3 linked regions of the Neurospora crassa OR74A genome follow. The protein of the gene in region 1 purifies or fractionates together with the protein of each later gene. This does not show direct contact. Links are inferred from orthologs where the notes say so. Each region holds a gene or a part of one and is shown in the gene's direction. Other genes may lie near its edges. The genes, in order: NCU08668, NCU03051 and NCU03961.

Region 1 (9,606 bases):
AGCTTTATTCCCTCCGACCCTTCCAGCACTTTACTTTTTTCCCTTTCGTCACTTTCCAGTTCCTGACCTGAAAAAAGAGACTAAAAAAGGAAGAGAGAGAAAAAGAGAAGAAAAAAAGAACTGCAGTATACCTTCTCAAGTACAGTCTAAATCTTCGCTCCCACCCCCCCAACAACTGACAAAAGAAAAAGGAGAGCAAGAAACCCAATTCCTCAACCCCATACAAATGAAAACTACCTAGGGTGGGTGATATTGTTTTTCTGTGGCCGTTACCCTCCAGGACAAGAAACGAAAAGAAACAAAGTCAAAAGAAAAAGGAAGGAAAAGCAATTGTTAACAAAAGCAGAGAGAGCGAGAGAGAGAGAGAGAGAAAAAAAATAATAATAATCCGTAACCCAGCATTTTCGGACAAAACTCTCAAGAGACAGAGGACATAAATGACGTCACGTCCCTTTCACCTTCTCAATCTTCACAAAACCTTGTGACCCAAACAAATCAAATGTGTTAATGAAGGAGGAGGATGAGAAGAGGATTCTAGAACGACATCGTCCCTGTTCCTATTCCTGTTCCCGTTCCTACCCTTACACTTCCCGTCCTCTTCTTTATCATGTTCATATTCCCACCATCCCCTTTGCCATAATCATCATCATCATCATCATCCAAACTCAATGGACTAACGGGACTAATAGGGCTGATGGGACTAATCGGGCTTCCAAGAACAAAAGAAGAATCCAGGAGATATGCGGTTCCCCCCATTGCCGACGCGGCAGCAGACACTGCGGATATCTCCGAAGTAGCTGAAGCAGGGGCGGATACGTAGGTTTCGGTGGCTGTTGTCGAATTCGTAGTCGAGGAAGGAGAAGTGTTTAGTTGTAGTTTTGCTTGCTGTTGCTGTTGCTGTTGCTGTTGATGAACAAGGCTAACAGGACTGAGACTAATAGCTTCTGTACCAATAACCAAGACCGACACCGGAGAAGGCGACTTGGGCGTCGTTGTCCCACTTCCTCCACTTCCACTGCCACTCCCACTTCCGCTTCCGCTTCCGTTCCTTTGCTGCTGATTGATGGAAGCCCTACTCCTCTGCGCCCTCACACTCTGCTGCTGCGAGGACTCCCCTCCTCCTCCTCCTCCTCCTCCTCCTCCGGCTGCCACCAAACTTCCCGATCCCAGTGGTGACGTCGGAGTAACCGGACTGGCGCTAGCCGCGCTATTGATTCCCATCCCAATCCTCGTAGGCAAACTCAAACAGGGACTAGGAGGCCTCAGTCCCGTTCCCATCTCTCCTCCGCCGAGTCCCAGATCGAAACCGAGTGATCCATGTCCGTGTCCTCCTGATGTAGATCCATGCGAGACGGTGGGTGAGGAAGCGGAGCTGGGGACTGAGAACTTGCGGGGTGGTTGTGGTTGCGGATGTCCCTGTCCTTGTCCGTGAAAGGAGGGGAGAGCGCTAAGGGAGAGACATGATTTGGAGGCGAGTAGTTGTTTTTTGTTGGCGGAGGTTGAGGGGGCAGAGGTGGTTGAGTCCAAGATGGGGAGGTTGGCTAAGCTGGAGGAACGAAGTTGGTTGTGGCTCTTGGTGGTTTTGTTGTTGTTGTTGCTGTGCTTGTTCTTGTTACGGTCGACACCGCGGCGAGATCGGGCAGAGGTGGGCGAGTGTTGGCGTAGGGGGTTGAGATGGGCGGCGGCGGCTTTGTCGCGAAGACCTTCTAGTCTGATGGGAGTGGCAGGGTTAGCATTGCGCAGAGAGAAGGGATAGTACCTCTGAAAGGGAGAAAAGACGTACTGTTCCTCTGTGATACCGGGGATAACAGTGGTTTCTTTTTTGAAGTTGTAAGGAGCCGACTGGGGTGTTTGATTGTTAGTGGATTGCTTGTCGTTGCTATGCTCAGGACTAACACTTACAATATCTTGACCCCGGACTTGCTTCCTCCGCTTGATTCCCAAAAGCTCCTGAAGCGAGGCGCGGAACCTCTTGAAGTTGGAGCAGACCTGCATGTTTGCGATATACTGCCGCCCGCTTGATTTCAGAAGAGAGAGAAGAATGAAAGAATGACCGTGTTGTGACGGCTGGTATTAGTGCATTAAGTGAGTTTGTGGGAAATGTAAAAAACGAATGAGTATTAGATAAATCTGTATCGATGGCCGCTTCCGAGGTTGCGCATGCGCATGTGTGCGTCTAAGTGAGTGAAAGTAACGTGTCTTATCGGCAGGAAGAGATGCAAAAATGATGGGCGTCTGGCGTTACCGAGGTCGACGTTGTACCTGATGATGATGGACAACAAAGGACTGTGTGAAAAATGAGGAGATAACAGGAGATCCAAAGACAAGAGAGTCAAGCTAATGCCCGAAGTGAATGGCGAAATAATGACGCACAACAGTGCAGAACGAACGTACACGATACCGTGGAAAGAGCGGAAGAGGAGAGGATGAACAAAAACAAGAGTGAATGATCAGAAAGACAAAGGAGTGGCAAGCCCGTCCAAGTGGCCCATTGACTTCTCTGCTGGCCTTCGCTGGTGACAACCCAGTGCGGCTCGGCAGTTTAGCCCTTCTGAAGTATGAATCCGGGCTCAAAGAGAGGATTGCCTGAAGAGGACCACACTTCCCGGGAACCCAAGAGAGAGGTCAAAGAAGATATACTACCGCCGCATCGGATCGTCGAACCCAACTCGGTTAGGCTTCAGGAACGTGTTCCCTTGGCCAGGGCAGACAAGAATTGACATTGATACCCTCAAAGGGCCGCGGGTGAAGTGAAGGATCGTGAATAGACGAATAGACGAGAAGAAGATGGAAGGAAAGAGGAATGAGGAAAAGCATGAGCCCGGCGACGCCCCTCGCTTAGGTTTTGGATGAGAGCCTTGGAATGCGGAACAATTGACGTGGGATCTCTTTGAGACATCCCTGAAGCAGAAAAGGCTGGTGTCTTGGATTCGTTCAATAACAGGTAACAGGGAAAGACTATCTATTGCTGATGATATGCAGCGCGCACGCGCCCGAATACCTCCCTTATTGACGATTTGTGCCTCCTTGCGTCGAAAATCGGGCGGCAGGGCGTCCCGAAACTCTATTTGGGATAGTCCTTCAGGTGGTAGCTCTTCAACTTGACGAACTGGTCGAAGCCGTACTTGCTCAACGTTTGACCCTTGCCCGAGTTCTTCCAACCAGTCCAGGCCAGATCCTGAGAGATGCGCGTCAGTGAAACGAGGTGGTTGATTGTTGTCGCAGGACACAAAAGTACTTACAGGGCTGGGAAAATCGCAACGGTTCACGAAAACTGTCCCTGCCTCTACTTCCTCGGCGAGTTCGTATCCCTTGGCCGTGTCCTTGGTCCAAATACTGGCAGTGAGGCCAAATTCGCTGTCGTTCATCAACTGAATTGCCTCGGCATCGCTCTTGACCTTCATGACTGGAATGACGGGACCAAAAGTCTCGTCCTTCATAACGGTCATGGTGTGATCCACGCCGGTCAGCAATGTCGGTGCGACAAAGTTACCTTTGTCTGGCAGAATGCTGAATGTCTCATTCTCGGGTGTCGCATTCTTGGCGCCCTTGTCGAGCGCGTCCTTGATGTGTGCCTGGATGGTCTCCTTGGAGCGCGCCGAGATGACTGGGCCGAGATGCGTCCCTTTATCCAACGGATCTCCAAGCTTGTATCCCTTAAGAACGTTCTGGACGGCCGCAATAAACTCGTCGTGAATCTTCTCGTCAACGTACACTCGCTCAATCGAGCAGCAGCTTTGACCCGAGTTGAAAACTGCGCCGTCGACAATCTCTTCGGCAGCCCAGGCAATATCGACATCACCGCGAACATATGCAGGATCCTTGCCACCCAGCTCGAGGCCGACGTTGACGATGCGATCGGACGCGGCCTTCTGGACGGCCAGGCCACCAGCAACCGAGCCGGTAAAGCAAATGTTGGCAATCTTGGGGTTTCGCACAATTGTTTCAATCACTGTCGGCGAACCCGAGTGGAAGTACTGGATGACTCCGTCGGGCAACCCAGCCTCGGAAAACACCTTGGCCACCTGCTCGACAATTGTGGGTGTCTGAGGCGAGGGCTTGAGAATGACCGAATTTCCAGACAATAAAGCGGGAATCAAGGCGTTGACGAGAATAAGATAGGGGTACTGCGCAAAGTTAGAGGTGACGGATGGAGTGTCAAAACAACATGATGGACACCACTTACGTTCCAAGCAAAGATGATGAGAACAGGACCAACAGGCACCTTTCGGATGAACCTCTTGAATCCCTTCTCCTCCTCGCCATCGGTGTCCTTCAGAGCATCGTTGCTGATCTTGAGCAGATACTCTGAGCGCTTGATGGCAGTGGCAACCTCCTTGGCAGTATAAGCAATGGGGCGGCCCATCTGGACGGTGAGTTCCTCTGCAAGTTCATCCTGCTTCTCGGCCAGCAACTTCAAGGCCTTCTTGACGATGATCTGTCTGTCCTCCAACTTGGTAGTGCGCCATCCTTGGAAGGCCTTGAAGGCAGTCTCGGGCAGTTGGACGAGTTCCTCCTCTGAAATGCCATTGCGAGTGATGATGGGTTCCCCCGTGGTGGGAGAGATGGTGGTGATCACCTCGACCGACATTGTTACAAGTAGGCTTATCGGCCAGGTATCGAGTGATAAGGATGGTGAAGTGGGATGCAGTGTTGGTTGTCACAAGGAGGAAGAGCGAGTCAAAGGGAAAGAAAAGACACAGTTCAGTTACTCTAGTACTTAGTACTATAATTCGTTATACCTTCCACAAGAAGAAAAGAGCAAACCGACTTGATTCCCATGACCCAATGACACCATGTCGCCCCTCCCGTCGCCGTCTCACTAACAAACAGGAACACGACATCACACTGCCGCACACAGAGTGGCTCCCGCTCCGTTTCTCGGCGGCAGGCCGGGGGAGCTTTGATAAGATAAAGAGTTGTTGGCAGCGCGGGGTCGGGTCTGCAGTGTATGAACTCCACCTCGGAAGGAACCTAAGGCGGGGACGGGATCAGCCAACCTGAACTTCCATTCCCATTCATACTTTGTTATCTCTTATCGGCCCTGCGTGCACGGTCCCTTCCTGCCTGTGGCCCCCAGTGGAGCCAGAAATTTTGAGAAACAGCAGCAGCCATGTCCGTCCAGCGCTTCCACGCCAAAAGAAGACTTGCGAATCGCGTCGTGATCCTTCTCCAACGCAAACAAACACCCGACTGCCCTAAATCTCCCCATAACGACCCAATCATTCAACCTACGAAACTTTCAGCATACAACAAAAAGTCCACCAATTAGAAACACAAGTCAATCATCCATCGACAATGCCGGAGGACGATGTCAGAAACAAGTTCCTCGATGCTGGCGATAGCGACGACGATGCGGGCCACGGTTCTGACTCGGAGGATGATTTCCAAAAGGGTGGCCGTAACGCCAAGCGCAGAAGAGTGAGCGATGACGAGGACAGCGAAGCCGACGACTTTACCGACGCAGAGGAGGAACACGACCAAGATGATGCTGAAAGCAAGGATGCACCTGCAAAGGACGGCCAGGAAACAACAGATGGAAAGGAAAAGAAGGATGGAAAGAAGGAGAAGGAGAAGAAGTCGGTACTAGCGAGTGACCTTCCGGGCATGACGAAGCCTCTCACAAAGAAGAATCTCATCGTCACGGAGGAGGCCATCAAGAAGTCGGGAGTGGTGTACATCTCCAGGGTACCACCTTTCATGACTCCTGCCAAGTTGCGCTCCCTGCTGGAGCCGTACGGAAAGTTGAATCGCATTTTCCTGGCCCCCGAGGACCCAGTTGCGCGACGCAAGCGCATTCGCAGCGGAGGCAATAAAAAGAAGATGTTTACAGAAGGCTGGATTGAGTTTGTCAAGAAGAAGGGTAGGTCTTCATTCCGTGAGACTCGCTGAGACCCAAGTACAAAGACGCTAACAAGAAAACCCGTTTGTTTGCAGACGCCAAAAAGGCATGCGAACTCCTCAATGCCCGTCCAATCGGAGGCAAGAAGGGATCCTACTACCGCGACGATATCTGGAACTTGCTCTACCTCAAGGGTTTCAAGTGGCACAACCTGACCGAACAAATCGCTGCTGAGAACGCCGAGCGATCCAGCAGAATGCGCGCCGAAATCTCCAAGACAACCAAAGAAAACAAGGAGTTCGTCCGCAACGTGGAGAGGGCCAAGGTGCTGCAGGGCATTCAGGCAAAGAAGGCGTCCAAGGGCAGCAAAGCGGGCGGTGAGGGTGCCGCCCAAGTCACAGAATCTACTATTCCCTCGGCGGCGGCAACGACGACGACGACAACAAACGACGATAAGAGGAGAACATTCAAGCAAATACCCTTGGCCAAGAAGAGGAAGCTCGATGAGACACAGCCCGAGCAAGTACAAAGAGTGCTCAGCAAGATCTTTTAACCTTCTCGTTTGGCCCCCGAACAATAGGTTTGAGACACGGAGCGTTCATGTACCTGTGGGATTTCTGTCGTCAAAGCGACTCCGAGACATTAGAGATGGGTGGTGTTGATTTTCTTTCCCTTAGGCAATTGTATATATTTTTCTGCCTTCAGTCATCTTGATACCCAACCTGATTTCCTTTTGCTATGAGAGCATCTCCATTTCCGTCACTTTGTCATATCCCTACTTATCGACGCTGCACAGAAACCGGCCGGCGTTTGGTTTAATTGGCCCACCATGAGCACATTCCAAATCCCAGCCACGAGGAAGAGTGCCCCTGACGATACGGTCAACACTCGATACAACTTCACCAATTGTCCTGTCGCAAATGCTGTCAAAAGGGGATCATATTTAACGACTCACCCGACTTACGCCCTTCGCATACTTCAAGGACTCATCCAGCGTATGCTTGACGTAGATGAGGAAGGTTGCGAACATTTCTCAAAACGTCGCCTGGACACCATACTCCAATATACGTCCTGGTCAAACTATATCATCGGGCATATCCGCCAAGACCGCTCTTGTCGTTATTTGAGTGAAGATCAGATGCACAAGTTCTTCCATGCATGTATTCAAACGGTCGAGGATGGCTGTACCCTGTGGGAACATATATACCTTTTGAAACCTAGTTGCTGTGCTGGGCGTGGCTCGTCTCAGGATGAGAGCCTGGAAATGACCACATCTTCACCCAGGTGGTTTTCGAGTAGCACATCCTCAGCATCAAATGAAACCATCAGTTCGGCAACTCAAACACCCCTACTTTGGTCAAGAAACCCCTCTCTCGAGCGAGAAGCGACTCCTCGATCTGTTTCCCCTTCTCCTCCGCCCCCAACAAAATCGGACCTTGTGCTTTTCCAGCCAAGGACAGTTAGCATCTTACCAGTAACCAGTGACTGCTTGTCCAGACTCCGCGAAATTTTCAGCTTCTACTGGCAAAGGTTTATCTACGGACCCCTCGCCTCCCTCTACCGGTGGTTCTGGGACACACAAGCCAATCCTATGGGCTCTACCTTCGGATCACGTCTTGGGCTAAGAGCACCAACCTTTTACCCCTTTGCCCCAAACGACAAACAGTCAAACTCGCAGAAGCTATTAGAATGGCCAATCTCGTCAACACCGCCAGCGACCCCATCTGCACAGAGTGTTGCCAACCCCGACCATAACAGCAAGGAGATAAATGAAGATCCGACGCCAGCAGACCGAATGTTCAAGACAAGGGAGGAGGTCAAAGATATGTGGTGGAAGGTGATGGCCAAAATCCTGTTGGCCGAACACCGTGAGCGGAGGGAGAAAGAAGCGGTGGCTTCAACTTGGGAGAGGGCGAGCGCAGCAAGTGTTACGGAGAGTACCTCTAGGTCGTCTTCCGCTATTTCGTTTGTGAGTAGCGAGGGAAGTGATTACTCGCTGCGTCCTGAGGACTGCTTCTCGACCGTTGGCTCAAGGTGCGGTCACTCACAAGATGGGGATCAAGAGTCAGTTCAACCTGCTACCAGCCATTCCTCAACCCCTGAATTCGAGGAATGGTATGCCGAGTGGTTCTCTCATTGGGTGTTGGAAACTTCTTGCAAGCTGAGGTCCCCAGAATCAGAGGATAGATTCTCTTGTTATTCATTTTCTTCGTCAGCAGCGCCGGTAAATGACAGCAATCATCTTGAGGATAGCAACGCCTCCGATGACGACGACGAGATCACGGACATCCGAACCAGACCCTCCACACCTACACCGCTTTCCTCGCCTACTATTAGCCCCCTCCGCGGTCAAGATCGATACCGCTGTCTTTCTCTGTCCCGGTCATTCTCCACTTCTTCACCCAGTCCAACTCCGAACACCAGCATCCCCTCTTCTCCGATTGCTGGGTCGTTGCACTCTCCACGTCGCTACCGCTCACCTAGTCCAATCCTCCGTCGCGGAATCCCCTCTCCCTTGGATATCACCAACTTCCCTCTTCCTCCTCCTCCTTCGACCATATCCCCAGTGTTCCCTACCTCTTCTTCTTCTTCTTCTTCTTCTTCCTCTCGCTCTTCCTCTCCAACTCAATCCCCTCAGCACGAAAATCAATGCGACCCCGAACCTCCCCAATCCCCGCAAGCCACTTCCCCACCGATAATCCGTCCCCGTCCACGTCCCCTCCTAAACGCCAAAACAGAAGACTACCTCTCCAATGCACACCTCCTCCGCTTCCCTGCCACCGTGTCCGCTCGGCTGATGATGACTGCCGAGACGCTGGGGGTCGCGGGCGAAGGCAAGAGGAAGCTGGTTAGTGAGCTGCAGAGGACTCCTAATCCTACGCCGGCGGTGGTTGAGACCAAGTGGAAAAGGAGGGCTAGTGAGGAGGTTAACGGGTTTGATTGGGGGTTTGGAATGGGTGGTGAGAAGGAGGAGGACGAGGAAGAGGAGGAGGGGTATGGGGAGGAGGAGAAGGGGTATGAGACGCATTGAGTTGTTTAAGGGAGGGTTTGGTGGTTTTCGGTGGGCTTGGAGGGCTTAAACGAGGGGGAATTAGGGTGTGAAGAGTGTGAAGTGTGAAGAATGTCATGTTGTTTGAGTGTCTGCTGTGCTCTCTTTTTTCAAGGGGTTATGGTTTTGTATCGTAATGATTTGAGTGGTTTTGTAGAGATAGAGTGCAGTTTTGTTTGGGACCTAGGTAGTTTGCGAGATGTTTTCCGTTCGAACTTGATTGGATTTTCCGAGCATGTTGAACTTGCTGCGAAAACCTAACGATATGGGTGACTTTAGGGGACCTCCGGGTTGTAATGCGCCTTTGATTTGCAATGTCACTCTCGTGAAGTTGGAAACTTGCCAGCATTCACTTGGTCACGTTCAAGAGACGACAGTTCTTATTCAGTTGTTGTAATGCGCATGAATAAATCTAAGGGGTATCTACGAAGCTCTAACGAATCTTTTGGTGGAAGCAATTGCGTCAGATGCTAATTACGTGATCCTCCTATGTCCCTACTTATCATTCCTTCTATACCTCAGGCCATGCCATAAGGTCCCTGCCGAATCATTCTCAATTTTGTGGTCGTAGCCTCCCAACCCCAAACTCCATTCGCCTAAGCCAGTTGTTTGGTGACTCGCTATGCTGCCTGCCAGCAGGAAAAAAAAATCCGATAAGTGAAATTGTGAGAACCCAGACAAAGAAATTAACTTGCGAAGTAATGTAAGGAAGTTG
Region 2 (10,578 bases), on another chromosome or scaffold:
CCTATTCCGAATACTAAGGATTAAGAAAATATTTTCTATATCTTATATTCGACTTTAATAATAAGGGTTTCTTATTTAAAAGAGCATCCGACGAGGCTATTATTAAATTTCGGACTTTTCTTTTTCCTATAAGCTAAAGCCAAATATTGTCTATTAAGAAATATATCGATTTAATAAATATATAATAAGTAAGCAAAGTAATTATAATAACGCTAGTATTTTTATATACGTAGCTTAAAAATAAATATATTAAATCGAATTTAATTAAACCTATTGAGAAATTAACTATTAATAAAAATCTCGGATATTTAAACTTAATAATTTTATAAGGCGGTTTTCCAAAAGGTATAAAGTTCACTATAAAATATTATATTATTTTCACTTTCTAAATATTTACTATTAATTTTATTATAATAAATAACAATCAAAATAAATTTTATAACTAAACTATACTTAGAACGAAGCTAATAGCAAAAAGAAGAACCATCCAATTTATATTTTACATTCGATAGAATATATAGAACAAAAGCAAAAAAAAAAGTAATAAATCTACATCCGGGGCCGGTATTCGAAAGCTAATAAAACCCCTACAAGCTACCGGACTATATAATTATACTATTTACCTTCGAGCCAAATCCCTAATTTTAATACTTTAGTACCTAAATTCACCCAGTACTAAACTTAATATTAATACGTATACTATTCCCACATCCAAATTTATCTATACTCCTTCGGTAGCGGTATTAAAAGCGTTATTTACAAAATCTATAGTATTAAATAAAATATCGAGCAACATAAGAGTAAAGACGCAAGATTTGAATAGTAATATTAATTTAAATACAAGCAAAGTAAATAATAAGGGAAAATAGGGTAGGAAGTTGGTACTTCCTAATATATATTAAGGTTTATACTATTATAAAACAATAAGAGAGTATAGAACTCTTTATATAATATTTATTCTATTTAGAGAATTTTAATATAATAAGTATAAAACCGATATTAATTTAACAAATTTCTATAACGTAGTATTAATACTACTTTAAAGGGATTAACTACGGCAAACTATTACGTATTTATTTACTGGATATTTTAAATATATAAACCCCAATAACTACTAGAAGTTCCTTAAACTTAAAGAACTTTACCCCGCTATAGCCAAAAAATAGGATCCCCGGCTCGGCGAGTAACCTAAGGATAAAGATATATCGAAATTTAATACTTTATATATACTAGAATATCGCTCTCCTTCTATATATTTTCAATTAAACCCGACTATTATAGAACAATAATTAAATAAACTTTTATATATTAATAAAATAAAGGAAGATACTTTATTCGGTAAACTCCTTCGTAAAGTATTAGAAGCTAATTACAAATTCTAATACTTTATAAACCTAAGGAAGAAAAATATATTATAGTATAAAAGGGTAGTATTTATAGATAAGCTCGACAAAATATTTAAATTTCACACTAGCGATTTTATCCGAATAAAACGCTCAACCTATATACTTCTAAATTTATAACTAAAATATTTAATTAAATTTTAACTTACAAAAATTAACAGCATCTTCACTTATAAAATTACAAATTTAACCCGGATTTTTATTATAATAACGTACCTTAATACCCCAGAATATAGTAAAAAGACGGAGCCTATCCTTAATTACCCTATATATAAATTAAAAAATAGCTATAATATAATTAGACTCCCTAAAGTACTCCTAAAGCGGGTATAGATAGTACCTAAATTAAAAGGTAGTATATTTATATATATTTAATATAATATCTACTTTATATAGAATAGACAGAAGGTAACCGACCAACGTAGACTTGTATAATTTTTATTTAATACTTTCATAGTATAATACTAACCTAATTATACAATTAATATTATTTTATATATAATATTTACAATAAACTTCATTTATTATATTATTAACCGGAGTATTAATTAAAAAAATATATCTTTTTTTTTACTTCTTAGAATAAAAAGATTAAATCTAGCGTCTATACCCCCGTCTTATTCAACGTTACGGTTCCTAATACTCCTTAATTAATAATATTCTTTCTAAATATTTTATATAATAAGTATAAAATATTAGTAAAAAAAATCAAAATTTATAGAATATACCTATAAAAGAAAATACTAAATCTACTCCCGTTTATACTCCTTCCTCGTTATATTAATCGACTACTAGCACTACTTTTATTAAAGTACCTCCGTACCCTAACTCCCATCCTAGCTAGCTACGTCCTACAATTTAAATCCGATATATATACAACCTCCTACTTCTACTCTCCTAAGTACTATCGCTATATATAAAATCTTTTATTCTTTACACTCTACTACAGCACTTAATTAAATATTTTTATAATAGCAGCATTATAATATTTAAATACCTAACTTCCATTTATTCTTTACCCTATTATACTATATATCTTCTATATTACCCTCCAAATTCTTTTTACAATTATAATCTTATTAATTCGGGCCCTTCCTCTTACACTCCCGCTCAATACCAACCCCGCTTCTACTTATATAATTAAATTATAGTAGGGATATTACCTACTATCCTACTACAATAAGTAAATATAAAAGTCGATAATAATATTTAACTCCCTATTATTAAATAGAAAAAACAAATATAATATTAATATATTAGTCTAACGGTATTAGTAAACAGGATTCTATCCAATTACAATATATATTACCTTTTAATTGTAGTACTATAAAGTTAAATTCCTATTTCTTCTACTATCCTAAGCCCCTCCCTCTATTTAAACTACCTATTACTAACTACTTCTAATTATTATTTAAAACACTCTCCCCGCGTACTTAATACTTTATATCCACTACTCCCCCTCTATTTTTAATAATATTTATTACTAATAGCAGTAAATTCTCACTATAAACGCTTCGTACGTACTTTATAACTATCTAATACCCTCCTACCCTACTTACTACTCTATACTCTTTATTCCTAATTAATATTATTCTATATAAGACTATTGCTTATTAATATTTATTATATTATATTACAATTACCTACTATAAATTTAAATTACAATTATACCTAAGTAGAAGAATTTATATACCCCCTATATAATAATAAATATTACCTAAATAGTTGGTTAGCAATTTACAAAAGTTAATTTATTTTATAATAATTTCTAAAAAAATAGATATAGGTTAATATATTCCCTAATCGCCCGATACCTTAAAGGGAGTAACCCGTATACTATATTTTAATCCCCAATCGACTTATTAAACTCGTAACTAAATATTAAACTTCTAATATAATTATCGTTTAGCCCGGTTATACTATCGAATAACTTATCTAATATTTAATATTCCAATCTAACTATCGAACTCCTAATCTAAATATTAGGACTTTAATTAAATAATAAGATACCCAATCAAATTATCAAACTTCCGGCTAAATTATCCATTTCTTAAGTAAATATTCAACTATACCGCAAGCTACGTACAAATAGGAAATTAACGAACTTTGAATTTTTAGTATATTAAATCTATAAATTAATTATTTTTTTTTATAGTAGCTTTAATATTCTATATATTAAGCTCCCTCCTATTTAGAATATAATTAACTATACTAACTCCTAATATATTTAATTCGCTTAAGGATTTTAAAGTATACTAAATATAAACCGGGGCAACCTACTAAATAGACGGAAAGAACTCTAATTTAATACTAAATCAATAATAACTATACTTTTTCTATATAATAGAATACAAATAAACTTCTTCTCCTAATAATTATAAGCAATACTAACGTAATAGAAATATAAATTATAAGCTACTTAATTAATAATAAATAAGTAAAAGTAATAATAATAAAGGAAGTTTAAGAGGAAATAGAAATTTTAAAGGAAATTTAGGAAGAAATAGAAATTTAGGAGGAAATTTCCTATAATAAAAGTAAATAGAAGTTCTAAATCGCTTCCACTACCCACTACCTAACACCTATTCCATTCCGTCTACCCTACTATTACTAAAGCCCTTAGCGCTACTACCCTCCAACTATATAAATATTTAAAATAATTACGTAATATAATAATTAACTATAAAATATCCCTACTTAACTCCGAATAGAGACCTAAATAGAAGCTAGAGTCGTTAGTAGTTTTTTTATTATAATACTAAGGGGTATTATAAATAGAACCGACGAATACTATTTTAACTTTCTTTATTTAAAAGTAAAATTAATAGTAGCGTACTCCGTATATACAATCTAATTAATATATAAATTTCCACTTCCGTAGGGGACCTTAATATATATACTATAAGAAATATAGGTAGCGACCCCCAACTCCCACTATATATCTACAATATACTAACGTTATTATAAATAATTACTATTATAATATATAGATTTAAATTATTACACACCTTATCGTAGGGTTTCTATAAATTAAAGCGTAATATATTAGTAATACTAGTACTAATAACTACCAATAATCTAAGATCCTAATACAAATTCGGGGTACTATATAAAGGGGCTTAAAAAAAAGCAGGTGTAAAATAAATACCCGGGCTACGTATTTCTTTATACTACTAAACGCTAGCTACTAGGAATAGAAAATAGGAATAAATATTTAATATTTTTACAATAATAGTAAATAAGGGAATTGCCCTAAACTACTTTAAGGGTAAGGCACAAAGTATACTACCTAAAAATACCTATAGCAACGGAATTAAGATAGTAAATAAATACTAACAGCAACCCCAAAGTAGTAAATTATAAATAAATATTAAATAAATATTACAATAATTTCAAATAATATAATAATACTCATATAATATTTAATTATACCATTCAACTTCCAATCGTATATCAATTAATAATTATTATATTACATATACAATAGTAAAAGTTTAATAAAATAAATTAATATATATATAGTAGGATATTTATAAAAGAAAAAAGAATAAATTTAAAATATAAATTGAACCTTCAAAAATAATTCTTATACGAGTTTATTTTGTATTGTAAATAGATAGTTTAACTAATTATTACTTCGGAGATAAAATAAAATATTAAAGATGAAGTACCTTCGATAATTGAACATTCTATTATATAGAAGTTTCTATTATATACGCGAACCACTTTTTAACGAAAATTCCTATTGTACGCACTACTTTTTATTCTATATAAAATACTATTACTATTTAAGTATACCGTTCTAGCGGGTCAGCTATCCAAACGCAAATAGACCAACTACCGAAACGCATTAATTACAATCCACAATTGTTCAACCAAACATACAATTATCGAAAAGGGGCTTATACAAGCGGATTCGTTCTATAACGCTTTTGCACTGTCAACACCACTGCCTGCACCCTGTTCTGGCCCTGTTGTCAGACCCCCTATTCCCAGCAGGGGGTCAGGTCCTCGCTTCAGGCTGGCTGACGTTGCTGGCTCCAGGCTGAAGTACTTTGGCTCCACTCTGGCGCCGGAAGACACGCCGCCAAGCCTGGAAACTGCCCCGCAGAACCCGTCCAGGCCGTGATACGATGCGGCGGCGGGACCGGGCCACTTTCAGACAGGGGCCGGGCCAGCCACAGCGGACAGTGGCCGTCTGGGCAGGCAGTGGCTGGTGGAAATGGACGCGGCAAAAGTTCTTATCTTATCACTTGCCGGACTGGCAACGCCAAAAAAAAGTTCAGGGACGGCAACCCACTGCGCAGCGGCGACACGATTGTGCTAGTGGACATTGAATCGCGAGAGACCTTGCGCATGTTATTTTGGATTGGCATCTTGTACTAGTGGCTGTCCAATTATCGCAAATATGGTCAAATCATACCTGTAAGCCTTGCGATTCTGTCCTACTTTTCTCTCGCCTGATGGCATCTCTAATACACCTGGGAACAACAGCAAATTCGAGCCCTCCAAGTCCTTCGGTGTCGTCGCAACCAGCTCCTCGAATCTCGTCTGGACCTCCTCCAAAGACAAATCTGGCACCGGTGCGGGCCAGGCTATCGTCGCCGCCAACAATGAGGTTCTAACTTGGGATATCAAGAAGGGCGAGCTTCTCAACCGCTGGAAGGACGAGAACTGCAAGGCCCAGGTCACTGCCATCGCCCAGAGCAAGACCGATCCCGACGTATTCGCTGTCGGCTACGAAGACGGCAGCATCAGGCTGTGGGATAGCAAGATCTCCACCACCATTGTCAGCTTCAATGGACACAAGTCGGCAATCACGATACTGGCCTTCGACAAGTCGGGAGTGCGCCTGGCCAGTGGCGCAAAGGATACCGATGTGATCGTTTGGGATTTGGTCGCCGAAGTCGGCCAGTACAAGCTACGAGGACACAAGGATCAGATCACAGGACTGCGATTCATCGAGCCCGAGCCGCAAATACCCGAAGGCGGCGACGACGAAGAGCAGGCTATGGTGCTGGACAACGAAGCGACAGAAGGTTTCCTCTTGACGACCGGCAAGGATGCGCTCATCAAGCTTTGGGATCTTTCATCACGGCATTGTATCGAGACCCATGTGGCACAGAACAGCGGCGAGTGCTGGGCGCTTGGTGTTTCTCCCGACCTTAGTGGATGCGTCACAGCTGGCAACGACGGCGAGATGAGGGTATGGGCTTTGGATGTAGCAGGACTCGCTTCGTCAGCACGCAAGGTCGATCTCTCGCAAGCAATCAACTTCCTCCACGATCGCGGCACACTACACCGTTCGAGCAAAGAAAGGGCCGTCGAGGTCATCTTCCACCCCCGTCGCGACTATTTTGCAGTACATGGCGTCGAGAAGTCTGTCGAGATTTGGAGGATACGAAACGAAGCCGAAATCAAGAAGAGCTTGGCGAGGAAGCGGAGAAGAAGAAGAGAGCTGGCTGCGAAGAAGGGCAAGAAGGAAGCAGACGCGGAAGAGGAAGACGACAAGGCCGATGATATTTCAAAAGCAGACATCTCCGACGTCTTCGTGCAGCATGTTATCGTGCGGACAACAGGCAAGGTTCGGTCGGTCGCTTGGGCCCTCAGTCAAGGAACCAAGGATCTCCAGCTCCTTGTTGGAGGCACAAACAACCTGCTCGAGACATATACCATTGTTGGAAAGGATAAGCTCAAGTCCAAGGGTGATGCGCCAGACTACAACAAGGCGCTTGCGGTGGAGCTTCCCGGACACCGAACAGACATTCGTGCCCTCTCCATCAGCTCAGACGACAAGATGTTGGCTTCGGCAGCAAACGGCTCCCTCAAGATCTGGAACATCAAGACCAACACATGCATCCGGACATTCGAGTGTGGCTACGCGCTCTGCTGTTCCTTCTTGCCTGGCGACAAGGTGGTCGTGGTCGGAACCAAGGAGGGCGAGCTTCAGCTTTACGATGTTGCTTCGGCATCTCTGTTAGAGAGCGTCAACGCTCACGAGGGCCATGCCATCTGGTCACTACAGGTTCACCCAGACGGCAAGTCCGTTGTTTCTGGCGGTGCTGACAAGACAGCCAAGTTCTGGGACTTCAAGATCGTTCAGGAACAGGTTCTAGGCACGTCAAGGACAACCCCCAAGCTCAAGCTTGTCCAGTCCAAGATTCTCAAGGTATCAGACGATATCCTGAGTCTCAGGTTCTCCCCCGACGCGAAGTTGCTTGCTGTTGCCCTTCTCGACAGCACTGTCAAGGTCTTCTTCGTCGACTCTTTAAAGCTTTACCTCAACCTTTACGGTCACAAGCTGCCCGTTCTCAGCATGGACATCTCCTACGACAACAAGCTCATTGTCACAAGTTCCGCCGACAAGAACATCAGAATCTGGGGTCTCGATTTCGGTGACTGCCACAAGGCTCTCTTCGGTCACCAGGACTCCATCCTCCAAGTTGCTTTTGTTCCTCACAACTCGGACGGCAACGGCCACCATTTCTTCAGTGCCAGCAAGGACCGCACCATCAAGTACTGGGATGCCGACAAGTTCGAGCAGATTCAGAGGATCGACGGCCACCACGGCGAGATCTGGGCCATTGCCGTTGCTCACAGCGGCCAATTCCTCATCAGCGCTAGTCATGACAAGAGTATCCGCGTATGGGAGGAGACGGACGAGCAGATCTTCCTCGAAGAAGAGCGCGAGAAAGAGATTGAGGAGCTGTACGAGAGTACGCTCACCACCTCGCTCGAGCAAGACCCCGACGCCGAGGACGAGAACCGCGAAGTCGGCGCTGCGTCCAAGCAGACGGTTGAGACGCTCATGGCGGGTGAGCGCATTGCCGAGGCGCTCGAACTCGGCATGGCCGACCTCAACGCTATCAAGGAGTGGGAGGAGGCCAAGCAGCAGAACCCCAACGTGGCGCCGCCGCAGCGCAACGTGCTTTTCATGGCGCTCGGCAACATCAGCGCCGAGCAGCATGTCATGAACGTGCTGCAGAAGATCAAGGCGTCGGCGCTGCATGATGCTCTGCTCGTTTTGCCATTCGCCACCGTCCCCATGCTCTTCACCTTCCTCAACATCTTTGCCATGCGCTCCATGAACATCCCGCTTACTTGTAGAATTCTGTTCTTCATGCTCAAGACCCACCACAAGCAGATCGTGGCGAGCAAGACGATGCGCGCCATGTTGGATGGCATTCGCACCAACTTGCGTGGTGCACTCAAGCGCCAGAAGGATGAGATGGGGTACAATGTTGCGGCGCTCAAGGTCGTAGGCATGCAGTTGCAGCATAAGAGCGTGAAGGATTATGTTGATGAGAAGTGGGAAGAGGAGAACGAGGAGAACAAGGCAGTTAAAAAGCGTGCTTTCGTGCAGGTTTCTTGAGCGTCGGATGGTTGGGGTTGGCGAAGGAAACAAACGCCAGCATGATACATGGGAGTGACCTACAGGTGGAGGAAGGGTAGTGTAGGTGGAAAGAGTAGAAGGGATCTGGAAGAGAACAAATCCGTTCCGCACATAACACAACATACATATGATGTCTGACGTAGAGGAGAAAGGGGTGAACGGTGTTGATACCGTTTCTCTTTCGTAAGGTAAAATAGGGCAACGTTTCTCTTTTTTTTGGAGTTGGGGTCTAGTTAAAACGGCATTGCATAGTATTCGTTACCCTTATCTCCAAATTGCTCTGTCTTGAATCTCCCCCATCAAATTCTCCATCTTAACTTCCGGAAGGGAAACGCGTGATGTCTTGATCAGTTCGTCTTCGTGGTGCCGCAATCTATCGTCCACCGTCCACTATCATTGTCTTTTTCCATCCTTCGTCGTCTTGTATTCCCCCTTTTCCCTCATGTTCCCCAATTCCCCAATTTCCCCTCACACCTGTCCCACCTTCACTCCCTCTCATCTTCCCATCCGATCCCCAAACCTCTACTACCTTAACCTCGTTCAGCCGCCTCTCGCTCCCTCGGCCCCAAGTCCCCCCCCCTCCCTCTCCCCTAATCACACTTGTCGAGTTGCCTCTCACATAACACAACACCGAACCTCAACCCCCGGGTCCCCTCCACTGGGTCCGGCACCAAGTTTAATCCCCTTCTTAATCCTGGTGACCATCCTGACCTGATTCCGATCGTAAACTCCCCTCAAGTCACACTCCGGACACGGTTCGCCGCGGGCGATGTAGGCGGGCGGAGCGGGCTTGGCTACTAGGTGTTGGTGGTGTGGGCAGTTATCTTGGATCTGGTGGTAGGGAGGGCCAGGAAGATGGACTTGGCAGGTGTTGTGGCCTTGGATTTGGAGTTGGCCCTGAATGGGAGTGGTAAAGGCAGCGGTGTGGCTAGGGGTGTGATTGGGATGGGGATGTTGCTGGTAGGGGCAGAGGGGTTGGTGGCAGAGGCCGTCGGGAGAATGGTGGTTGTTGTAGTGGTAGTTGCGTGTGTTGTTGTTGTTGTTGTTGTTGTTGTTGTTGTTGTTGTTGTTGTTGTTGTTGTTGTTGTTGTTGTTGTTGTTGTTGTGGGAAAAACAGGGACAGGTGTTGAAGCCCGCACCTGGGAGACAAGGAGTGGTGATGCGCATCCAGCGGTGTTTGCAATGCGTGTCTTTGTAGAGGGTTGTTTGGCACATTGTGGTTGTTTCCCGTCGGTGGGGTGCTGGTGGTGTCAAGGTTGTTATGTCTCCTACTTCGTTTCCGCCTCCTCAAAGGGTACGACACGGCGCCTTGGTATTAGGATATGAAGGTGAGGGATGGCTGACTGTCTGGGAGGTGGCCGTGACGGCCTGCTAGCGACTTCTTTTTCCTGCTTTGCTTTTTGAGGAAGGCGCGATGGGCGCTGGCTCCGGCGGTCCGAGGTTGAGGACTTGACTACAATAGACACCGGGAGATATTAAGGGCAGCGAGAAAGCGCTGGGGATGGCTTCTTGTAGTTTGTTTGAGCATTAAATGGGAAATTATTGTCTTGTCAAGGAGGAGGGAGCGCGAGTGACTGTGGTTTGTGTGGGTGAACTACCTATGCCGATGATGAGACGAAAGGGGCAGTCACTCACAAGCTTTCTGGGGTCTCGACTCGTGGATCATGGATATCGCGAGGATAGCGATGAGTTCAGTTATGCCGTCCAATGTCACAGGATACAAACGCACCAGCCAGTGTCTGGAACCGAGGGTTGGAATCGAACCCCAAACAACCCAACTTG
Region 3 (10,349 bases), on another chromosome or scaffold:
TGGCGGGCGCTGGCATAGGCCCACCAAAGAGCGTGCAGCGATCGTATGTTTCAAGACACAGCTTCATGTAATCGACGGGAGACATCACCGTCACAGTTGTGTCCGACGCAATGCAGTCAAGCGGAACCAGCTGAAGGACCAGCTCACTCGTGACCGGCTTCCCGATGTCTGCCATACACTGCTTGTAGCGCTCGTAGAGATCGTGGAAGGCGGCGCATGATTCCACGACCGAATTTGGCCTATCATCTGGGTAGACAAAGAAGACAACGTAGTTCTTTTCCGTCATCTGGACACTCTTTAGTGCATTTGCGAGGCAACTCATGGGCCCATTGAACGGCGACACAGCCCATTCATCACGAACAGCTGGTTGTTGGGTCGCGAAGTATGATAGAAGCCCATCCTCGAGATCCGGGACAGTAGGGAGGATATCAAACGTCCCTAACTTCAGGGATTCGTAAACACTGCGTATCCGCTGCAAAAAGGCAGAAGCGCTATCCCGTAAGCCGTCAACGTTAGGGAACAAGCAAACTGATACAATATCCTTGGCGCCTTTTGCCGGACTAAGGCCTAAACTTTCCCAGAAACTGATGGCTGTTGGCAGCATCGAGAAGGGAGTTTCATAGCGGCGGATTTCTATATGGGGTGTTGGTATCGGGTAGATGTTTCGAGTTGACATTTCTGAACCCATCGGCTTAGCTTGAATACGTTGTGGCTGCGCCAGTGCTACCAAAGGCACATCTTGTACATCTGCGTATGGCTTGAGCGAACACTCAATCGCATCGGCTAGTGACCGTGGCAGGGCCTTTCGTAGCCCTTGCATGGAGTACCGCACTGCTTTGGCCAACGTTCTGCGCACATCCTGGGGCTTCCGGCTCAAGATTCTGGGAGCGATCTGTAGCGAACCGGTCGCCACTTGCTCGGTAAGGATTTGAGCAATGGTAATGAAATTCGTATCAGAAAAAGAAACCTGGAGCCGTGCCGGCTCTGGATCTGCAAAATATTTGGCGATAGAAAACTCGGGCACCTCGGGGTGAGATAACCGAACCAAATCAATCGACCCATATGCAGGTGTATCTGCCACAGCACTTTCGAGGTCTTTGAAAGAAGCAGCAGTTGAGAGGACATCGTCGTCCAGACGTCGCCTTGAAATTCCTGACTTGGCGAGAGAGGGTGCGTAGTTGCTCTCGTCGCTCAAGTCGTCTGGATCAGACGCCCAACTAGAGTCATCCGTCTCTGACGCAACTTCGTCGCGGCCTGTCAAGCTACCGCCAATCCCGTGAGCTATCCTCGCTAGAAGAGCCCCAAAGTTACTTGGAGGTTCCTTGGGAGGTTTTTCGACTCTCGTCAATAGAGGATTTTGCAGTTCTAATCGCGTTTTTTGCATTTCTTGCACGGCCGGAATCATGTAATTGAAGGGGCCGTTCTCGGTGTACTTTTTGTTGACCAGGGATAGTGAAGGGTCGAAATCAACCTTGTCGAATTCGCTCTTTCGTCGCTGAGAAAGTGCTGTAGTAGGAGATCGTGGTTTCGGAGGCGACAGAAGTGAGGCCTTGATTCGCTTGTACACAGTCTCTCGGTTAAAGGGGCTGTGCGGTCTTTTGATCCCTATCGTGGAATTACGATTGAAGCTCTCTTGATTTGCTTGTTGTCGACTTCCTTCAGCGAGGGTACTGCGTGCGTGTTTAAGCTCGGGTTTGGTGAATTCTGGAGGCGCTGGCTGCGGAATCGTCTTGTAATCTTCCACTCTGTTGTTAGTCTGGGGAGCTGAGTTAGTTGGTTGACCCGCATCAGCGGACAAATCCGTTGTCGTTCCCAGTCCTGATATTGCACTGAAATTCATCTCGACACCCTCGGTCTGTTCGTTGAGTTGTTCGTCGAAAAAGTTGAAATCAGCATCGGTAAGCTCGTTGCCTTCGAACATGTCTTCCCCGAGATCGCCGAACATATTGTCACCCTCCAATAGATTCCCAGCCTGCTGCTCCCGCTTGTTGTCGCCGCCTTCCCAGCCATTGCCAAAGTTCTCCGTATGGGGGGCGTTGTTCTTCATCACAGTATCTATGCCAGCCATCGCGTTATGCTGGGGCTGGTTTGCAGGACTGGCAGCGAAGCCTGTCTCGGCAGAGGCAGCCATGCCTAATGGTTGAATTCCATCCGGAGGTGTCGGGTACATTGCACTGGAAGCGGCTATGGCCCCACCGTTGCTCGGCCGGCGCAACGCCATAGGCGACGCAGCACTAATCTGGTTGTTCTTTGAATCAGCGTCAGCAATACTGCGAGACACGGCTGCTAGCGCCTCCCTCTCGTCTCTTTCCTTCTTTCGCTTTGCGATCGTCTCTTCTCGCTCAGGAAATCCTTGGCACCATTGCCTCGCGTCATCTACCGGATCTAGCGATTCGGATGCGCTCGCCACCAGTGCCTTGGATGAACGGCTATCAGCGCCAGCATCGATCCTCGGTTTTCTAAAGCAAAGCACCGATGGCCAAGCCGCGATCTGAGGTGGGTTCGTCAAAGGAGGTCTCTTGGCGTCTTGCCTGTGTTCGTATGGTTTTCGCTGCAGGAAGTGAACATTGAACCAGGAGCAGCCATTGATCAGCGAAGGCGATATACCACGCATTTGGAGTACTTTGCAACACGTTGCCTTCCATTGTGAGAGCCTATCGGTTGGATCCGGCTTTAGACGACTGATTTGGGTGTCTGGCGAATGGCCATAGCCGCTATCAAGTCCATACATGTCCCCATCCACTGGGTTCAGCATGAAACCGAATGCTCCAAGAGGAGCAGCAAGCACCACTGGGTTTGATGGGAGCATGTTTGACCGCGCCAGCTCCGCAAAAGATGCCAATCCCTCAAGCAAAGAGACGGAAAGAGAAATGACGAGTGTCCCGGTCGATGTAAGATAGACGCGAAAAGTACCAAGGGCACAGCTTTGCGGCTTCGGGCCTAGGATGAACTCATCCAAGTAGTATGCTTGAGAGGGGAGCAATATCGACCTATGGTCCAGCGGAATGGCTCCTATCGTGTGGCACAACGAAGAGGACAGAGATGCCAGGGTCGCAGTAATGAAGAAGTCGTATTTTTCCTTTAATGGCACATGGGCGAAGCGATCCGAGTCCGAAAGTATGTGCGACGCGCCCTTGTTATCCATAACTGGAGCGCCGGGCATGACACCTGCTGCGGTAGGAAAGGCAGAGGCCTGCGGATTCCGGAATGCAGCGTCAACAACGGAACCGGCAGAGGACGAGCTGTTTGGAGTGTTGAGAGAGTTTGTCCCAAGCTGTCTGCTTCTGAACAAGCTACTGGGTTCAAAGCCGCCTTCTCCAGACAAGCCTAACGAGTAACCGCAGACCTCCATCTTGGCGGTGAGCCCTCGCTCCTCGGGTCCCAACATGGAGCCATCCTTGGTTGTCAAGTAAAAGACCCATATACATCGCCGGGTGGTATCGACGTGGACGAGGTGGCCATCCCGGCGCAAGGCATCCTCGACGACTTGTGGCTGGAAGGTGTAAGAGGCTGTGTTGGCGGCAACGGGTTCGTAAACGCGAAAAGAAATGGCGGAAAGATTATTCTGCAGGAGAGACGCGTGAGTTAGGGGGGGGGAGTGGGAGGCGGTGGTCCGAGGACGGGACAGGCCAGCATACAATTAGCAAGGTATTGGTATCATAGTCGCCAGTGTCCATATCTGAAATAGAGATGCCTTTGGAGGCGGAGTCGCAGAAGTCGTAGTGACCATGCACCGGGCGCGAAGGCGTGTTAGCGGAGTGGGATGAGGGCGCATGTAGGCCGGCGACGGCGGCCTGAGGGACGGTGTGATGGCGTGTTGGGATGAAAGTCTACTGTGGCGACGCTCAGAAGTGGAAGCTGTGGAAGCCGAACTTCAAACAGCATGGATGATGAACTCGGTAGTTGTCTTGAGCTGTACGTCGTTGGGATGCTGGACTCCATGGCAGCAAGGCCCCTGTCCATACAGCGCGAACCGTCGCGGATCACCGACCATGCGCCCACGAGGTCATTTGCGGGTTCGGGACCTGGGAGATGGGACGGAGTGAGGAGCTGTAAGGCGGGAGGGGGATGCGATGGGATGACGGGATGCGATATTACTGTAGGTTAGTGTCGTGGGACTGAAGGATGGTGGACATCGGTTCAGGTAGGTAGGTAGTTGGCGGTCCGGTGGTAGTAACGAATACGGTGACGGCGGGCAGTAATCGTGACTTCACAGCCGCCATCGAGGTGGCCGACTCGAATCAAAAGGAATTCGGTCCAGTAAAGTCCATTGCAGTCAGTTGGGTTCCAGGTCGGCGGGATGCCCTGCCCGCCGATGCGACAGGCGAACAGCCACGCAGGCAGTTAGGTTCGGATCAGCGACGGGGGAGGACCCACACTACCTCTAGAGGTATCCACAGCTGAAAGGACCCTGCTGCCAAGCACAATCCAGGCCTGCCACCTCACCTACCTAGAGGCACCCGGCCTAGGTACTGCAATGACCTGCTGACGGCGACGCCCGCCTACCAGAATTCAAAGGTCCACCACGGGCAGTCCTCCCGTCCCGCTTCCTCTTCAAGCCGCCTTATCGCCCTACTACCTTTCGCTTTATCGCCGGTGGCTCTCCGCCTTCCTTATTTGGCGACCATGGCACTTCTCTGAACTTTTTGCAGATTTTCTGCCGCAAAAAGTTCAGATACGGGTTAGGGTTGTTCTCCAAAACTTCCCATTCAGCAGATAGTAGCAGTTGAAGCTTTCTCTGCTTTCTCAACATCTTCCATCCTTGCCCCATCCCTCATCACCAACAAAACCACCCATCATGAAATTGACAAATCCCGGCGCGGTGCCAGTGTACGTCTATTTGCCATTGGAAAAGAGAGATCCGCTGTGAAATGCTAACCATCATCGCAGATACACCGTATCTGGGCCGTCGACTGCGAGACCCCTTCCAGAATGGCTTGCCCGCCGCAGAAAGAGATCGGCCAAGTACGAGCCCGAAGAACTCAACAACTTCGAGCTCCTCCAGAACTTCGACTTCGAGGAGGCCAGCAACTGCGTCCGTGTCAGTGAAGATGGCAACTGGATCATGAGCTCCGGTACCTACAAGCCCCAGTTCCACGTCCACAACACACAGGAACTGTCGCTGTCTTTCGCTCGCCACACCAAATCCGAAAACACCACCTTCATTATGCTCAGCCAAGATTACACCAAGAGCGTACACCTCCAATCCGACCGTTCGATCGAATTCCATACCCCCATGGGATGTCACTACGAAGTCAGACTCCCGCGCTTCGGCAGAGACCTTGCATATCTCCGTCAAAGTACAGAAGTGCTCATTCCCTCTGTCGGTTTGAGTGCGGATGGTTCTGGTATGGGCGAGGTTTTCCGCCTCGATCTGGAGCGCGGCCAGTTCCTGAGGCCATGGCAGGTGGATGTGGGTGAAGATGAGCCCGGTGCTGGTCTTCAGGGAAGCATCAACGTCGGAGCTGTTAATGTCGCGGCCGTCGCCGAGTCCACACACGGTCTTTGCGCCTTCGGAACGACCGTCGGCACAGTCGAGTTCTACGATCCCCGTAGCAGGAACCGCGTTGCTGTATTGGGCGGCCAAGAGGGCGAAATCACTGCGTTGGATTACAGCAGAGACGGTCTCTCTCTTGCGCTCGGAACAGGCACGGGTATTGTTCAAGTTTTCGATCTGAGAAACCCTCGCCCGCTTATGCGGAAGGACCAGGGCATGGGTCTTCCCATCAAGAACATCATCCACTTGACGACTCCTACCGAGGAAAAGAAGCTTCTCACGGCCGATAAGAGAATCATCAAGCTCTGGGACGAACAGAGTGGCGACCTCTGGACCTCAATCGAGCCGACCGTTGACATTAATCATGTGGCGCATGTCCCCGATTCCGGCATGCTATTGACGGCAAACGAGGGCAAGCAGATGCACAGTTTCTTTATTCCCAACCTTGGCCTGGCTCCCAGGTGGTGCCATTTCCTCGACAACATGGTCCACGAAATGGAGAACGAGAAGCGTGTCGACACATACGACAACTACAAGTTCCTTACGATACCCGAACTCAAGCAGCTCAGCTTGGCTCACTTGGTTGGCAAGACCAACCTGTTGCGTCCTTATATGCACGGTTACTTTGTACATTCCAAGTTGTACGACCAGGCTCGTCTCATTGCCAATCCGTATGTCTGGGAAGAGGAGCGGGCCAAGCGCGTCAAGGAGAAGGTTGAGAAGGCTCGCGAGAGCCGTATCAGAGGTGTCAAGAAGGTCAAGGTCAACCAGAAGCTGGTTGACAAGATTGTTGATCGTTCCGACAAGAAGAAGATTGCCGCTGGCGTCTTGGGCGATTCTCGTTTCGGCAAGCTGTTCGAGGATGAGGAGTTCAAGGTCGATGAGACGTCCAGGGAGTTCAGAGCCCTCAACCCCAGCACCCAGGTTGGCGGACAAGATGTCGCAGTACAGCATGTCAAGGACGACTCTTCAGTTACCAGCAACAGTGACGATGAGAGCGATCCGGAAAGCGAGGTCGAAAGCAAGAAAAAGAAGAGCAAGAAGAGCAAGGATGACGTGGTCATGCAGGTCTCGTCGTCCAAGATTGCGGGCGGCAAGGCGAAGGATACGGCATTCGGCCAAAGAGCTCCAAGGACCGGGCGCGTCACTAAGACCCGAACGGACGTGGTCGGAGAGCAGAAGATTACGTTCGTGCCCGAGTCCAAGAAGAAGAAGCAGGCTGAACCCGAGGCTGCACCAACACGGAAGAGACATGATGGGAGGCGAAGTGCAAGCACGAACACCTTTAGACGACTGTAAAACGCCAGAAGCTTATTGGTCCAACCCTATATACTATACATGTGAAAAAGTCATGGTATCTTTCATGTCAACTCCTCCAGGCCGTGGTGAACCGGCCAAGAACATCATTGCCGTCCACGGCACACATTTCTTTCCGAATACGAGTCGCAAAGCAATAGGCTCGCGCGACCAGCGATACCCAAAATATACCCCAAGCTTGCCATTTTCGTCATCAAATGGTTCATTATATCTCAACTCGTGCTGTCTGATTTTCTCTTGCGCCACACCGGCTCACTTCCGACTGAAGTTGATGCGTGTCTTTCCTGACTTCTCCGGCTTCCCCATGCCCTTTTCCAAATCCAGATGCTCGGGTTTGATGCGCGGGGTGGGTGGCACATCATCGATCCTTACACGGCCTTTATGTTGGGATCTGGTTGATCGGAAAGATCCCTTGACCGATCTGGGGAACTCGCTGCGTCGTGGGGTCAAAGCCGTGACGACCCTCTTTGCCGACTTTCGAATGGTCTCCCTGACCTTCCACTCATTTTTCTTTGCCAGGAAGAAGAGAACTGCGCTACCGACTGTTGGAGGGAGGGTCAATATCATGTCCGGTCAGTGCAGTATTGCTGATGGGCGAGAAAGACTTACCACCGAAGATGGTGACGACACAAACAACCACAATGATGGCGATCAGACCACCTTGAGATAGCCCGACGTCGTTTGATGACGTCCCGGCCGCACCGGCGATACTTCCACTGTCTCCCATGTCTGGACCAGCACCGACGCTTCCTGGGTTCGCATCCGGCTCGTAGTTGGCGTCTGACGACATGACTGCAGTTGCTGGGGGTTCCCCTCCCTTTATATAACTGCCACTGCTGTCTCTTGTTCCAAACCAGGCCCGGCCTCGTAGTGACGTGATTATGAGATGTCGGTCTGATGTCGAAAAGGTCGATATGAACTGAGGTGAGACCACTTTATTTTTCTTTATTCTCAGTTGCGTTGCACGGCAAGCAATGAAAAGTCGAGACCGATAGGAATGCGACGCGCGACTGTCAAAGTCGGGTGATGAATGATATGACAGTGGGAAGAGGAAAGTGAATAAAAAATATGAAACGCAATCAAAGAGGAGGAGGACCAGAAAGGGAAAAAAAAAAAAAGGCGGGCGTTTGGGAGGCAATAGAGGTGGTTGTAGGGGTTGGTAGGTAGGTGGGTATGTAATTTGTATAAACGCCGGTGTTGCTTCGTGGGCTCGCGGCGGCTACTCCTACTTCCAAAAGAGGTATATGTGCGATGTTAATGGTTGATACCGTGATTCGACAGTGAGCAGTACTTAATGGAGTAGACTTAGGCCCTCTTCTTCTTCCCGCTTCCTTGAGTGGTTGCCTCCTAGAGGAGCTACCTTAGTGTATGCTTAAAAGGACCCAATGCCCCCGCTCCCTTCTCCCCGCTAGGCAAGGTACTGTGATCTGACGATGCCCAATCTTTCAATGCGGACGAAATCTTCACCTGTCGTTATAGACCCGGATAAATCGACTGTGTGCCCAGATATTTCGGCGGTGTGGAACCTAACTAGCCAATGAGGTGTCATGGAATCCCAGCGGCTCAACTACCTCTACACTACACCAGCGTTCGCTATGGTCATTCTTACAATGCGATGCTTGCCTTGAGTTGCTTCTCAAGATGAGGGAGATAGAATTCGAAGGACTAAGAGATGGTGGTGGAAATGAGGCATTTGAAGCTAAGGATGCATAGAGACAAACGCGAGGCCAAGGTCGGAGACAGCCCGTTGGAAAGTACTACTCCTAGAGCCAAAGAGTAATACAACGGGAGCTCCAAAGTCAATACCAATTAGTTGCTCTAAGTTGTCGTTAATAGAAGGCGAGGAAGGGTAGGTGACTACGCGCAAAGTTAATGCCAATTGCCAAGTTCAAGGGTCTTGGCTTCTTGGCTTGGCTTGGTGCTCAGTTTGTATGGCCCCACACCGCCGAAATATCTGGGCACACAGTCGATTTATCCGGGTCTGTCGTTATGTGACGCCGAGGTTCGCCTGCGTTTACTGTGCCTGGGCGTGCCTGGTTGAACCTGGTCAATGGTCATGCTGTCTCACTCAAATATCACCATCAACGAGTCGCCGACCGTTGCATTCGGCACTTTGTCTTTCCATTACTACATCAAAGAACGGTTTCTCGCCTTCCCGACTACATACCTAGGTGATCATCCAGCGACCAGCGGCCTGTCTTGATATTACTTGACCTCACTTAGGTATCCGTTCTCGTTGCGCCTTACCGCCGCCATTGCTTCCACTGTCTCACGTGTATAGGCAATTTCATTCAACAACAACGTCCATTGACGAAGAGAAAACACAGAAAAGAGGTCAGGCCCAGATAGTACCAGCACATAAAACTCCATGGCCCCTGTCCGCCCAAACAATTCCGCCTCCGCACTAGCGCCGTCCACTCCCAACCCATCACTGTGATCCTTTCCCCCTGGCGGCCCTGAAACAATCCAGGTACGCTAGCCAATCCAGGTCCTGATTGGCCAGAAACCCTTAAAGACTCACAACTCCCGGCGCTTGCAGACGGCCATCGTTAACCAATCGGACAAGGGCTTCGGCTTGGTTGCCGCTGTACTACTCGTACCTAGTGTCCACTATCCAACGACGTCCGGAGTGTCCAGGGGTGTGAGTGTGATATGGTGAACATGGGATGGGGGTTTTTTTTTCAATTTTTTTTTTCAATTTTTTTCTTTTTTTCCCAACGACAAGTGAACATGATATGATGATCCTGTCTCCTTTGTGCTTTTGTGTGTGTGTGTGTGTGTGTGTGTGTAAATGAAGTTGGTTGATAAATACCATGTGGGCTTGGTCACTGTGACCGTGATGGTCACTTTCACTTTCTTTTTCATGTCTCTTCTATTGCGCTACCTACCTATCCTTACCAGACAAACGGACGGGCCATTCGATAGTGCGAAGGTATATAAGGTGATGTTATGCTTCTGTTCTGTCCCGCATCAAATGTGATGCCCCCCGAGTAGTAATAGTGATTGATGCTGGTGAGTGTGGCACACATTATTCGTTACGAGGTGTCATGCGGATAGCTTGACTCTCATATGCCTTGTTCGAATGGCTTCCTCCGTGAGATGGGGTGTTATCTTCGCTCTCCTTGGTATCCCTCTTTCAACCTTTCAGTGATTTGAGGATGGCTTGATGATTGCAGCCCTGGCGGGTTGTCTTTTGTTGCGCTGTCTTTTCCCCAGAAGTCATCGACGCTTTGCCAATGAGGTTAGCATGCTATTTTACTCTTCTTTCCTCCAGCTTGGGACAATCAGGCTCACGAGAATCCAGCTCCTCGATCGCGGTCTCCGTACCTCCTCAAAAATATTAGGCCATTCCAACTAATCCAGCATGTTGACGTTGCGTCTTGAGATGATCCTAGAATGACTGAAGCACTGACGTTGTCGATGTGGGGAATTCATCCAAAAAAAAAAAAAAAAAAAAAAAAAAAAAAAAAAAAAAAAAAAAAAAGTGACACTCACCGCCGACTCGAGCAGCAGCCACAAGCGTACCCGGATATGA

Evidence for each region.
Region 2: the proteins of NCU08668 (region 1) and NCU03051 purify together in Saccharomyces cerevisiae (affinity purification with mass spectrometry; 3 studies listed by BioGRID). This does not show direct contact. The link is inferred for Neurospora crassa OR74A from reciprocal best matches to the Saccharomyces cerevisiae genes ESF2 and DIP2.
Region 3: the proteins of NCU08668 (region 1) and NCU03961 purify together in Saccharomyces cerevisiae (affinity purification with mass spectrometry, with the first as the bait; 3 studies listed by BioGRID). This does not show direct contact. The link is inferred for Neurospora crassa OR74A from reciprocal best matches to the Saccharomyces cerevisiae genes ESF2 and ENP2.

Annotation. Positions count from the first base shown.
Region 1 is NC_026504.1:4,156,189-4,165,794, forward strand, and holds NCU08668 (pre-rRNA-processing protein esf-2), read left to right. Parts: upstream 1-5,124; 5' UTR 5,125-5,298; coding exon 5,299-5,863; intron 5,864-5,937; coding exon 5,938-6,395; 3' UTR 6,396-6,580; downstream 6,581-9,606. Other genes in the region: NCU08670 (hypothetical protein), read right to left, coding at 535-1,711, 1,784-1,842, 1,903-1,995; NCU08669 (betaine aldehyde dehydrogenase 2), read right to left, coding at 3,065-3,178, 3,243-4,127, 4,187-4,591; NCU08667 (hypothetical protein), read left to right, coding at 7,638-8,873. UniProt on the Saccharomyces cerevisiae protein: Involved in the small subunit (SSU) processome assembly and function, and in the 18S rRNA synthesis. Required for the early cleavages at sites A0, A1 and A2. Stimulates DBP8 RNA helicase ATPase activity.
Region 2 is NC_026501.1:8,274,019-8,284,596, reverse strand, and holds NCU03051 (WD domain-containing protein), read left to right. Parts: upstream 1-5,697; 5' UTR 5,698-5,811; coding exon 5,812-5,828; intron 5,829-5,897; coding exon 5,898-8,775; 3' UTR 8,776-9,121; downstream 9,122-10,578. Other genes in the region: NCU03052 (hypothetical protein), read right to left, coding at 9,412-10,011. UniProt on the Saccharomyces cerevisiae protein: Involved in nucleolar processing of pre-18S ribosomal RNA.
Region 3 is NC_026506.1:2,243,094-2,253,442, reverse strand, and holds NCU03961 (WD repeat protein), read left to right. Parts: upstream 1-4,691; 5' UTR 4,692-4,798; coding exon 4,799-4,830; intron 4,831-4,890; coding exon 4,891-6,796; 3' UTR 6,797-7,066; downstream 7,067-10,349. Other genes in the region: NCU03962 (hypothetical protein), read right to left, coding at 1-3,565, 3,639-3,677; NCU03960 (hypothetical protein), read right to left, coding at 7,067-7,356, 7,424-7,604. UniProt on the Saccharomyces cerevisiae protein: May be involved in rRNA-processing and ribosome biosynthesis.